3 linked regions of the Callithrix jacchus genome follow. The main gene of each other region encodes a partner of the protein of the gene in region 2 in a complex. Links are inferred from orthologs where the notes say so. Each region holds a gene or a part of one and is shown on either strand. Other genes may lie near its edges.

What was found.
Region 1: the proteins of MAD2L1 (region 2) and MAD2L1BP are in contact, whole or in part, in a crystal structure (PDB 2QYF), measured with the Homo sapiens proteins. The link is inferred for Callithrix jacchus from reciprocal best matches to the Homo sapiens genes MAD2L1 and MAD2L1BP. Residues at the interface, in NP_002349.1 of Homo sapiens: Tyr33, Arg45, Thr52, Leu54, Lys122, Asp126, Glu127, Arg129, Ser130, Arg133, Gln134, Thr136, Ala137, Thr138, Thr140, Phe141, Leu142, Leu144, Glu179, Val181, Arg182, Leu183, Arg184, Tyr199, Asp205; in NP_055443.1 of Homo sapiens: Pro61, His79, Tyr82, Gln83, Gln85, Pro88, Leu89, Pro90, Gln93, His96, Ala185, Leu187, Arg188, Phe191, Arg192, Phe195, Asp198, Ala199, Phe200, Ser201, Glu202, Leu203, Gln204, Ala205.
Region 3: the proteins of MAD2L1 (region 2) and MAD1L1 are in contact, whole or in part, in a crystal structure (PDB 1GO4), measured with the Homo sapiens proteins. The link is inferred for Callithrix jacchus from reciprocal best matches to the Homo sapiens genes MAD2L1 and MAD1L1. Residues at the interface, in NP_002349.1 of Homo sapiens: Tyr38, Leu61, Tyr64, Asn67, Val68, Trp75, Gln82, Lys83, Ser89, Ile91, Glu92, Ser93, Gly94, Arg99, Gln101, Ser150, Phe151, Asp152, Leu153, Leu154, Ile155, Tyr156, Thr157, Asp158, Lys159, Asp160, Leu161, Val163, Lys166, Trp167; in NP_001013858.1 of Homo sapiens: Glu527, Arg528, Ala530, Leu531, Gln532, Gly533, Asp534, Tyr535, Gln537, Ser538, Arg539, Thr540, Lys541, Val542, Leu543, His544, Met545, Ser546, Leu547, Asn548, Pro549, Thr550, Ala553, Arg554, Leu557.

Annotation. Positions count from the first base shown.
Region 1 is NC_133505.1:52,109,157-52,113,383, forward strand, and holds the start of MAD2L1BP (MAD2L1-binding protein), read left to right. Parts: upstream 1-1,332; 5' UTR 1,333-1,386; coding exon 1,387-1,417; intron 1,418-1,882; coding exon 1,883-2,148; intron 2,149-4,227. UniProt on the Homo sapiens protein: May function to silence the spindle checkpoint and allow mitosis to proceed through anaphase by binding MAD2L1 after it has become dissociated from the MAD2L1-CDC20 complex.
Region 2 is NC_133504.1:77,662,260-77,665,905, forward strand, and holds part of MAD2L1 (mitotic spindle assembly checkpoint protein MAD2A), read left to right. Parts: intron 1-1,576; coding exon 1,577-1,697; intron 1,698-2,705; coding exon 2,706-2,809; intron 2,810-3,400; coding exon 3,401-3,573; 3' UTR 3,574-3,646. UniProt on the Homo sapiens protein: Component of the spindle-assembly checkpoint that prevents the onset of anaphase until all chromosomes are properly aligned at the metaphase plate.
Region 3 is NC_133503.1:56,813,770-56,817,415, forward strand, and holds part of MAD1L1 (mitotic spindle assembly checkpoint protein MAD1), read left to right. Parts: intron 1-1,848; exon of another isoform or gene 1,849-2,021; intron 2,022-2,416; coding exon 2,417-2,579; intron 2,580-3,646. UniProt on the Homo sapiens protein: Component of the spindle-assembly checkpoint that prevents the onset of anaphase until all chromosomes are properly aligned at the metaphase plate.

The sequences.
Region 1 (4,227 bases), on a different chromosome or scaffold from region 2:
TGAGCCACCATACCTGGCCCCATCCTTTTTTTTTTCTTTTTGAGTCATTGTCTCGCCTTGTTGCCAAGGCTGGAGTGCAGTGGCATGATCATAGCTCACTGTAAGTGTTGAACTCTTGGAATCAAACAATCCTCTGCCTCAACCTCCTGAATAGTTGAGATTATAGATGTGTACCATGACATCTGGCTAACTTTTTTTAAAATTTAAATTAAAAAATTTTTTTCTTTTTAAATCAAAGCTACTGCAAATCAATTTAATTTTTAATTTTGCAGAAACAGGGTCCCCAATGTTGTCCTGGCTGGTAGCGAACCCCTGGCTTCAGCACCCTCCTTCCCTCTGACATTGAATGGCACAGCTGACCTTACAATTGCTGAGGTTAGAAACCTGCTTGTTTTCTTGTCAGTCTCTTTCTATTCCTCCTCCTCCTTGCATCAATCACCAAGTTATGTTTACTAGACCTCCTAAATATTTCGAGTTTACCCAATTATCTCCACCGAACTGTGACTACCCTAGTTTAGGCTGCTTTCATTAAGTACTTGGGTAACTGCAGTCACTACCTCTAACTGGTATCTCTCCCTCCTCTCTTATCCTCCTTGTAATCCAATCTCTACCCTACAGCCAGGGTAGAGATTAAATTTATAAGAAGTAATTTAATCAGGCCACTTTCCTACTTAAACCTTTCAAAGCTTCCCCATCCGCCTACAGGATCAAGTCCAAACTCTCACGTGGCTTATACAGTCCTGCCATGGTCTGGGTTCTGTTGTTCACTACAGCCTTAACTCTTTAAAATATGAATTCTTTTCATTGCTTGGACAGAGTATGCTCTTGTCTCAAGGTCTGTAGGAGCTCTAGGCCCTCCTCTTTACCTTGCTGACTTATCCTACAGGTCACAGATTCACCTATTTTTTCTGCGACCACGCCTTCCCAGCCCCTACGCACGCTTGCTTTTTGCTTCCACAGCCCGTGTACACGCTTCTGTATAATTTATCACACTGTATTGTATCTACAGGCAGTGAACCCCTTGAACACGGGGTCTGTGACTGGCTTGTTCTCTGCTGAGTCTCCAGGATCTAGAACAGGGCTTGGCACGAAGGAGGTGCACAGTGGGTAGTGAATGCAGGAGTGAATGGATGCGGGAGGGCTGGTGTCTTTTGGAAAGGAGCGCTCGATGGCTGAGAAGCCTGCTGGGCAAGGGCTGGGTGTACACCTGCCAGGGTGTTAAGGAAGGAAAGCAGGATTCAAATCCCATCCATCTAGCCTCCCCAACACTGCGACGGCGCCGCGCCTTCTTCCGGCCCATCTGAGCCGGAAGTGGAGGCGTGGGCTTCCCATGATGCCCCGCGGGATCTTTATCGTAACCGCAAGGAGTAGAGGGAGGTGGTCGAGATGGCGGCGCCGGAGGCGGCCTCGGTCCCTGGTAAGACATGGGGTCCAGAGTTTGGGGAGCCTTGGGGACCTGTTTCTTTCCTACTGTCGCGCCCTCCATTCATTTATCCCCTGGTCCTCTCCCCAGCCCGTCTTCCCTGTCTTCCGGGTGTCCTACACGGCTCTGGCTGTCACTCCATCGCCCTGGGTCGTCCTGGACCCTGCTTGACTACACTTTTGACTTACTTACCCAGATCAGGTCCCGCTGCTTTCTAAGCGGAGCCCTAGTACTACTTCCGAAATCCCCCCACTATCTTGCAGTCAGTTAAATCTCAGGCAACAGGAATCAGGAATCTCTCCCTGCCTCTCCCACACTGTAGGCTGCGGAGGGTATGTGCGTATGTCGGAGTGCCCCTTTTCGCAGGGTGGCAGGTATGGTGGCCACAGGGAATCAGAAGATTGACTTTGGCTTTTAGGTTTTTAATTTTTCTCTCTTGACCCTCTTTTCACCTTCCAGATTTGGAGTGGTATGAGAAGTCCGGAGAAACTCACGCCTCTCAGATAGAACTACTTGAGACAACCTCTACCCAGGAACCCCCCAACCCTTTGGAGCCCTTTTGCCCAAGAGACTGCATGGTACCAGTGGTGTTTCCTGGGCCTGTGAGCCAGGAAGGCTGCTCTCGGTTTACTTGTGAACTTCTAAAGCATATCATGTACCAACGCCAACAACTACCTCTACCCTATGAACAGCTTAAGCACTTTTACCGAAAACCTTCTCCCCAGGTAGGCACAGGCTTTGGGAGCAAGTTGGTGGGAACACTTTGTGGCTCTTAGATGGGAGGCAGGTAGAAAAGGGGATCACAAGGTCAAGAGATCAAGACCATCCTGGCCAACATAGAGAAACCAGTTTAGTAGAGAAATCTCTACTAAAAATACAGAAATTAGCTGGGCATGGTGGCATGCACCTGTAGTCCTAGATACTTGGGAGACTGAGGCAGGAGAACTGTTTGAACCGAGGAGGCAGAGGTTGCAGTGAGCCAAGATCGCACCACTGCACTCCAGCCTGGCAACAGAGCAAGACCCTGTCTCAAAAAGAAAAAGAGAAAGAAAAGGGGTCTAAAATCTTCAGAGCCTGTCAGCCTAAGCAACTTCCAGGGCTTTAGTCACTTTCTCCCTACTCTAGTCTTTGGTAGCCTAACCCTTCTGGCTTTTTCTCCTCTTCTTTCTTTCAAACTCATGTGTTGCATTTGGACTTAATGAACTGTCTCTTTTCAAGTCTCCCTCTTTCTGCCAGGCTGGAGTGCAGTGGCACCATCTCTGCTCACTGCAACCTCCATCTCCTGTGTTCAAGTGATTCTTCTGCCTTAGCCTCCCCAGTAGCTAGGATTACAGTTACGTGCCACAATGCCTGGCTGATATTTGTATTTTTAGTAGAGACAGAGTTTCACCATGTTGTCCCGGCTGGTTTCAAACTCCTGACCTCAAGTGATCTGTCCGCCTCAGCCTCTCCCAGAGTGCTGGGATTACAGGTGTGAGCTACTGTGCCTGACCTGCACGTTTCTTTTTAATAGCATCCTGTTGTTTAATTTCTGTAGGAACTACTTTTTTTTTGAGATGGAGTCTTGTTTTGTCACCCAGGCTGGAGGACAGTGGCACAATCTTGGCTCACTGCAACCTCCATCTCCCAGGTTCAAGTGATTCTCCTGCCTCAGCCTCCCGAATAGCTGGGATTACAGGCATGCACTACCACACCCGGCTAATTTTTTTGTTTGTTTATTTTGAGACAGGGTCTTGCTCTTGTCGTCCAGGCTGGAGTGCAGTGGTGCCATCTCAGCTCACTACAACCTCCACCTTCCATGTTCAGGCAATTCTCCTGTCTCAGCCTCCCAAGCTGCTGGAATTACAAGCATGTGCAACCACGCTGGGCTAATTTTTGTATTTTTAGTAGAGACAGGGTTTCACCTCTTGAAGTCCTGACCTCAGGTGATCCACCCACCTTGGCCCCCCAGAGTGTTGGGATTACAGGTGTGAGCCACCCCCCGACCACATCCCACCCCCATGAACTTCTTTTGCCTGAGGATATTATTGAATTTTTGAAGTTTTTCTTTGTTCCTTGCAGTATCTCAGTTTCTTCCAGAATCCATTCCCCATTTGTTCTGGTCTTTGACTTCCATGTTGGAGGCTTTTATTCTGTGTCTGGTGAATATTTAAGAATAAATCAGGCCCAGCACTGGTGGCTCACACCTGTAATCCCAGCACTTTGGGAGGCTGAGGCAGGTGGATCACTGGAGGTTGGGAGTTTGAGACCAGCTGAAACAACATGGAGAAACCCTGTCTCTACTAAAAATACAAGATTAGCTGGGTGTGGTGGCAAATGCCTATAATCCCAGCCACTCGGGAGGTTGAGGAAGGAGAATTGCTTGAACCCAGGAGGCGGAGGTTGTGGTGAGCTAGATTGTGCCATTGCACTCCAGCCTGGGCAACAAGAGTGAAACTCCATCTCAAAAAAAAAAAAAAAAAAAAAAAAGAATAAATCATTACAAGCTCTGTTTGCATACGTAGGCCTTAGGAACTGATAGACTTCACTATAAGGAGATTAGATGGGAACCTGGTGATCTCTTTGTTGGGGGATTCTTTAAACATAATATTGGAAAATCTTCCCTCTGGTGAGGGAGAAATTTGGCAGGTGATCTAAGCGTCTTTACACAGATTTCTATTCATTTCCCCATATTCACTCTAGCCTCTGTGGTGCCTATATCACCAATTACTAAACCTTTATGGGGTTCTGCTCTATGAATCAGTTTGGATCCCTTGGGAGTCCCTTCTGTCAGCACTTGGTATTCAGCTCACTTGAACTCTTAA
Region 2 (3,646 bases):
GTTTTGAATGTCATTTCCTTTAGCCTTTTTAGGGTCTTTACCCTGTTCTCTCTTGTATTTTCTGCTTCTGTGTTTTGATTGTAATTATTCCCATTGGGTTCATCTCTCCAGTTTTAGAGAAACAACAAATTATCACCCAGTCTCCTCCTTTTCAGAGTGAAACTAATAAAAAGTTGTTGATAATGCCAATGAATCACAAGGCCCACAGGCCACATCCAACAGGTGGTCTCTGTTTTTGCACTGCCCACAAGCTAAGAATGTTTTTACACTTAGACGTTTGTTTAAAAATAAGCAACAGAGATCTTGGTGGCCTATAAGCCTAAAATATTTACTAATTACTCTATTTCTTTACAAAAACTTGGCTGACTCCTGATATGCTGTTCCAATTTCCAAGATTAATTCAAGGCTCAATCTTAGCCCCTGTTCTCTCTCTTTTTAATTTCTCTATAGGTGGTCTTTGACCTTGTATAGCTTCACTTAAAACCTTTGTGTAGTAAACTCACAAACTTGTATCTATCTCAAGCCTCTTTTTCCAGACCCATATATCCAGCAGCTATATCTTTATGTAGCTATCCCAGAGATAATGTACACTCAAGCATGCTAAAAACTAAATTTAGGATCATCTCCAAAACTGATACTCTTTAATTCTCTCTCTTTTTTTCTCTCAGTAAATGGCTAAACTGTCCAACCAGAAATAAACTTGGAAGCTATCCCTGAATCATACTTCTTCCAAACTACTGTGACTAAACCTAATAAATTTTAACCATGAAATCTCTTAAATCTACCTAATGCTCCATCTCTACCATTTATCCTCTTATAAGCTTTCACTAACTCTTGCTTAAATTACTGATTAACTAGTGTCTCTAGATCCCCTCTTTACCATCTCCACTCCACTTTCCGTATCACAGGTAGAACGATAGTTTTGAAATATAAGTCTTAATTGCTTTGCATCCTGCTTCACACACAGTAATGACTTCCCTGGTCTTGAAGTGTATATTTCTTTAATTTGATCCATCAGGCTTTGCATGTCTGACTCCTACTTATCTTGCCAGGATTACCTTGTTTTATTTTGTTTGTTTCTTGACTGCAGTTGTAGTGGACTGCTTCCAGTCCTCTAGTTATATGCTCTTCCCTTGTGAGTATATCTTCTTTCCTCTTCTTTTGCATATTTAATGCTGTTTATCCCTAGAGGTAAACTCAAGCCTTTTCTGACCTCCTAAGTGGCTCAAATTTTCCTTTTTTCATGCTCTCATAGCAGCCATTACAGTTTTAATCTCTCATTTATTGGTGTGATGATTGGATTAATGCCCATCTCCTATGCTTTTATCTTGGATTAGGATGAAAGTACCACATGTTCAGTATTCGGTCCTTAGCACCAATTGCTATACCTGGCACAGACACTGAGAATTTGAAGAGAGAAGTTAGGTTATTGATGGGGCAAATTTTGTTGCATGTAGAAGGAGGTACAAGATACCAGTGGTAGGAATTTGCTGAGGATAGGGAGTGGGACCAGAGAAGAGAGCTACTGTATAATGCAGTAGACCTAAAAAGATGTCTTTCTTTTTATATATTGCAGATTGGTTATACAAGTGTTCGGTTCAGAAACTGGTTGTAGTTATCTCAAACATTGAAAGTGGTGAGGTCCTAGAAAGATGGCAGTTTGATATTGAGTGTGACAAGACTGCAAAAGATGACAGGTAAGTAGGAATTCCATTATTTCTACTGTTATTTTTTTTCAAAACTTATTTTTATTACTAATTGAGTTCTAATTTTGAACTAGTTTTATATAAAATATAGTTTATTTCTAAGTTATATTTTCTAAGATATCTTCAGTCACCTATGGAAAAGAATTGTCCTCAGTTTAGCATATCATTGATTTGTATATATAATATACATTTAACATAATTGTCTTTAGTCTAAATCAGTAGTTTTCAAACAGTATTTATGGTGACATATACAAAACTACACATGATATACTAGAGAGACCATTTAATGAATTATTCAAAGATATTTCTGACTGTAAGGAATGATCTGAGACTCACACAATTTAAGATGCAGCTCTGCTGTACTTCCTTTAATGCCATCTGTTTCCTAAGACACTTCATAGTTTTCTGAAGGTTTCAGACTCCCTGGAAGAGAAATCTCCATCTTTATACCCTAATGTTTAACATAGTTCTAGGCATGCATTTCTATAAATGCAGAACCATTTCTCATAGTGAAATATAGTTTGCTTTTGAAGCCTTTGGTTTATTTTAGGAAATTTTTAGCTTATAAAAATAATTAGATATATAATTTAATGTTTTATTTGAGACAATAGGAAATTAAACATTTAGGCATTACTAAAAATACTGAAATGATTATACCAATTAAATATTTTAGATAACACTTGTTATTTTTATTTCAAAAGATGCTGAAGTTTCCCTATGTTGAGGTGGTTGGCAGATTTTCTAGTCATCTGATATTAAATGACCTGACATTAAGACCAGCTCTAAAAGATGACTGGCAGGATAAATGAAGTAATAAGGTTGTACATTGTGTCTGCTAGATTAAAGGTCTTAAGGATATTTTGACTTGTATTTTTTACAAACTGCCTTTTTAATGCATTGCTTGTCTGATATTGGGAGCATTTAATCAGATAAATAATCTTACCACTATGTTTAAGACCTAAAATGAATTCATTGATTTGTTTTGTTTTGTTTTGATAGTGCACCCAGAGAAAAGTCTCAGAAAGCTATCCAGGATGAAATCCGTTCAGTGATCAGACAGATCACAGCTACAGTGACATTTCTGCCACTGTTGGAAGTTTCTTGTAAGTATTATACAACTTCTTGTTGAATTAAATTAATTGGCAAAAAGACTAAACTACTTTAATCACCCCTTTATTAAATTTTGTCTTATTTATTAATATTATGTAATGTCAATTGAAGGAAAAACATTATAAAGCAAAAGTAGTGTATAGTAGTCTCTCTTTTCATAGGGAGACCCACAGCAAATACCTGAAACCATGGATAATATGAACCCTATATATATTATGTTTTTATGTTATACATACATACCTATGATAAAATTTAACATAAATTAAGCACGGTAATAGTTAACAACAATAATACTAAAATGGAACAATTATAACAATATGCTGGTGTCACTATTCTTGCACTTTGGGACCATTATTAAGTAAGATAAGGGTTACTTGAACACAATCACTACATTGCCACAGAAGTTAGAAAGATACAATATTTTCTTACTAAAATAAATGTTCATCAAGCAAAATAAATTAGTGATTAATCAGAGACCAAGCCATATGACCTTTTCTAGTAGTGAGTGGTTCAAAATAGAAAAGAGGCAGCAAGATTAGTTTTACTTTTGGAAAAACAATTTCATGATCTTATCCCCAATTTAGGTTCATTTGATCTGCTGATTTATACAGACAAGGATTTGGTTGTACCTGAAAAATGGGAAGAGTCGGGACCACAGTTTATTACCAATTCTGAGGAAGTCCGCCTTCGTTCATTTACTACTACAATCCACAAAGTAAATAGCATGGTGGCCTACAAAATTCCTGTCAATGACTGAGAATGACAAGAGAAAAATAATGTAATTGTTATTTTGAAATGTGGTTTTCCTGAAATCAAGTCATCTATAGTTG
Region 3 (3,646 bases), on a different chromosome or scaffold from region 2:
AGGGTCTCGCACTTGTGGCCCCAGCCCCAGGGTCCCGGTGCCCGCCGTGGGGGTCCCTGGGCTGGGGCGCGGGCGCGCGGAGGAAGGGGCCTGAGCTGGCGCCTGGTGGGGAAGTCGGGTTTGTAGGGACTGTTGCCATCCTGGTGGCTCGCGCGGGTCCGCTATCTGGAAGGGGGTGGTGTGGGCCCTGTTTCCCCTCGGGGATGGTAAGGGCCGCCCTGGTCTCGTCTGGGCTATGGAGGAATTGGGCTGTGGAGCCTCCTTCCAGGCGGGCCTGCTTGTGCGGGGCTCGCAGCCTGGGGAGCTGGAGCTCAGGACTCTGCTTGCACCAGGCCAAGGTTCTTGTTAAATGAAAACTCAGAAAGTGTAGCTGCAGGAGTTCCACCTTTTGGCTGTTAAACGCTCTTGGCTGTTCCCCTTGTGGCTGGAGGGCCGGCGTGGCGTGGGACCATCATAAGTGCAGGTTTTAGGGGTGCAAAGTTCTTTGTTACGGCTTGTCTTCAGCCTTGCAAAGCTAGACAGACCCAGGTTCCAACCTCAGTTCTGTAACTTTTGAAGCTTCAGTTTCATCATTTCTAGAATTTGTAAAAAGACCTAATTCCCCATCCTGTTAAGATTGAGCTTGCAAGTATAGTGCTGGTCAACCTGCAGCCATGTTCCCATCATCTAGCAGTGGAAGACTTGAGGGATATTGATCCTGATCCTCACAACTTTGCAAGTGAATTTCACTCTCATGAGTTTCCAGATGAGGAAACTCAAGGTCGAGAAGTCTAGGTCCTCGGAAATGTCAGATACCTTTCTTTCCAGTACCTAGTTGAAAATAGTAGTAGTGCTTGTTAACGTCATTAGAAATAAACAATGAAAATTAGCACAGCTGTGGTGATCATCATCTTTACTGTCACTGTTGTGTGTCTCATTTCCGATTCCCAGAGGCCAGACTTTTTAAAATAAAATTATTTTTTTTGAGATGGAGTCTTGCTCTGTCACCCAGGCTGGAGTTAAGGGTGCAATCTCAGCTCACTGCAACCGCTGCCTCCTGGGTTCAAGTGATTCTCCTGTCTTAGCCTCCTGAGTAGCTGTGATTACAGGTGTGTGCCACCATATCCAGCTAGTTTTTGTATTTTTAGTAGAGACTGGGTTTCACCATGTCGGCCAGGCTGGTCTCGAATTCCTGACCTCAGGTGATCTGCCTGTCTTGGCCTTGCAAAGTGCTGGGATTACAGGTGTGAGCCACCATTGCCTGGCCTTAATTTATTTTTATTTATTTATTTTGAGGCACAGTCTCACTCTATAACGAGGCTGGAGTGCAGTGGTGTGATCTCAGGTCACTGCGACCTCCACCTCCCAGGTTCAAACCATTCTTGTGCCACAGCCTCCTGAGTAGCGCTGGAATTACAGGCACATACCACCTCACCCAGCTAGTTTATGCATTTTTCTTAGAGATGGAGTTTCACCATGTTGGCCAATCTGGTCTTGGACTCCTGACCTCAAGTGATCTGCGTGTCTCCGCCTCCCAAAGTGCTGGGATCACAGGTGTAAGCCACCGTGTCTGGGTAAGAAGCCAGACTTTGTGAGTGCTCCTGGTAGTTAATTTCAGGTGTCAACTGACTGGATTCAGGAACTCCTAGAAACTTGGGAAAGCATTGTTTTTGCTTTTGGATGTGCCGATGAGGGTGTTTCCAGAGGAGATGAGCTTAGGAGTCTGAGTGGATCAGGTGGGGAAGATCCACCCTCAGTGTTGGGGGCATCATTCAAGAGCCTGAGGTCCTGGAGAGGACAGAGAAAAAGCAAACATGTCCATCTTCCTGCTGGAGCTGGGATGCAGTTTTCCTCTCCTCTCCTTGACAGCAGCACTCCAGGCTTGCTGGCCTTTGGTCTCCAGGACTTGTCCCAGTAGTCCCTTGGACTGAGAATTACACCATCAGCTCCATTGGCTCTTCAGATTTGGACTGTGCCACGCTGCCAGGCTCTTAGGGTTCCAGTCTGCAGACAGCCTGTTGTGGGACAGTCTCCCTAATTATGTGAGTCAGTTTCCCTAATAAAGCCCCTCTCGTGTGTCTGTCTCTGTGTCTTGTTGGCTCTGTCTCTTTGGAGCATCTTCTTACAATGCTTTGAGGGGAACGTGCCACCTGAGTGCTGAGCACCGCCTCCTGGGCACCAGCTGTCCCTCTGTGCAGTTGACACTTAGTCGGTGGCTTGGTGGCAGGGGTCTGGTGGCATTCTTTCTTGCGTCCATTTTTTGTCTGGTAAGTTGGCAGCGCGGCTGCCAGTTGCCTCTGAAGAATGTGGTTACAGACACTGGTATATTATGGGCTCCAACGTGAGTTAGGGGAGTGGGGCTGCCCAGAGCGCCCCTGACTGCACAGCTGATGGCATGTGGCAAGGCTGTATCTGACCAGTCTTTGTCCCCCTCCAGAAGGAAAGCAACCATGGAAGACCTAGGGGAAAACACCACGGTTTTATCCACCCTGAGATCTTTGAACAACTTCATCTCTCAGCGTGTGGAGGGAGGATCTGGACTGGATATTCCCACCTCGGCCCCAGGTTCTCTGCAGATGCAGTACCAGCAGAGCATGCAGGTGAGTGGCATGTGCCTGGGTGGGAGTCTTCTCTGGGGACTAGTCCCCCTAGGCCCATGCAGGATCTGCTCAAGTCTTTTGTAGTTGAGATGGGTCAGTATTAGCTCAGCCTAGAGACCAGTTACTTGTCTTCCAGGTCTCACTGTGGGTACTTCTCATTTTGGGGCAATAGCTGGAGGCCATTTGGGGCCCTGAGCCATCATGGCTTAAAGGCCTGCCTTGTTAGCACCCTGAGTGGGCCTGGCGTTCAGCATTGCATTCACACAAGTGCACCCACAGACTCTGGGGACAGGATCGGAAGCCAGTTCATTCGTCTGATTGAGGACAGAACCCAAACTGCCTGTGAGTGTGAGCACCAGGACTGTGTGGGAAAGCTGTGTTGAAAACACAGTGGGTTCGCTCAGAGAGAAAGCCACGGCAATGAGCAGAAGGACTGGGTGTTTTGTGGTCTCAGACTGTGGAGGGCCATTTGCAGATTTTGGGGTGATTTTTATAATTTTGTTCTATAAAATTGTTGTATTTTTCTTCATTACAAGTTCTTGGGATTGCTCACTGTAGACACAGCTGCAGAGGACTCAGGTATTCTGAAGGACTTCAGGTTACAAAGAGTGATGGGCCCAGTCCCAGTTGGGAAGTGGTGGGGAATGGTGTCTCCAGCCGTGCCTGGGCCCTGTGGCTGCACAGGCTTCTATAGGCTCCTCTGCCTGGGCCCTCTTTTGCAGTCCCTGCTGCAGGCTCCAGAAGCGTTCTGTAGTCCTGTCCCTGTTAGAGGAGGCTCTGGCTTCCTGCTGCTTTTGGAGCCCATTTGAGGCCCTGCTGCATTTGGTGAAACTGTTGTGTGTGTATGTGCATTCGTTTTGTTGCATAATTGAATTAATATGTGTTTTTTTTCAGCAACATAATTAAATTAACATGTGTTTTTTAAAATGTTAGCTTGCTCACTGCCCTTTCTAGATGAGGACTTTTTTATTCTGAGATAAGGTCTTTTACATATATAGATATTTTATTGTTAAAATGCTCTTTTATGAAATTATAGTAATAGATGGTAGTTCTTTTTTATCACTGGC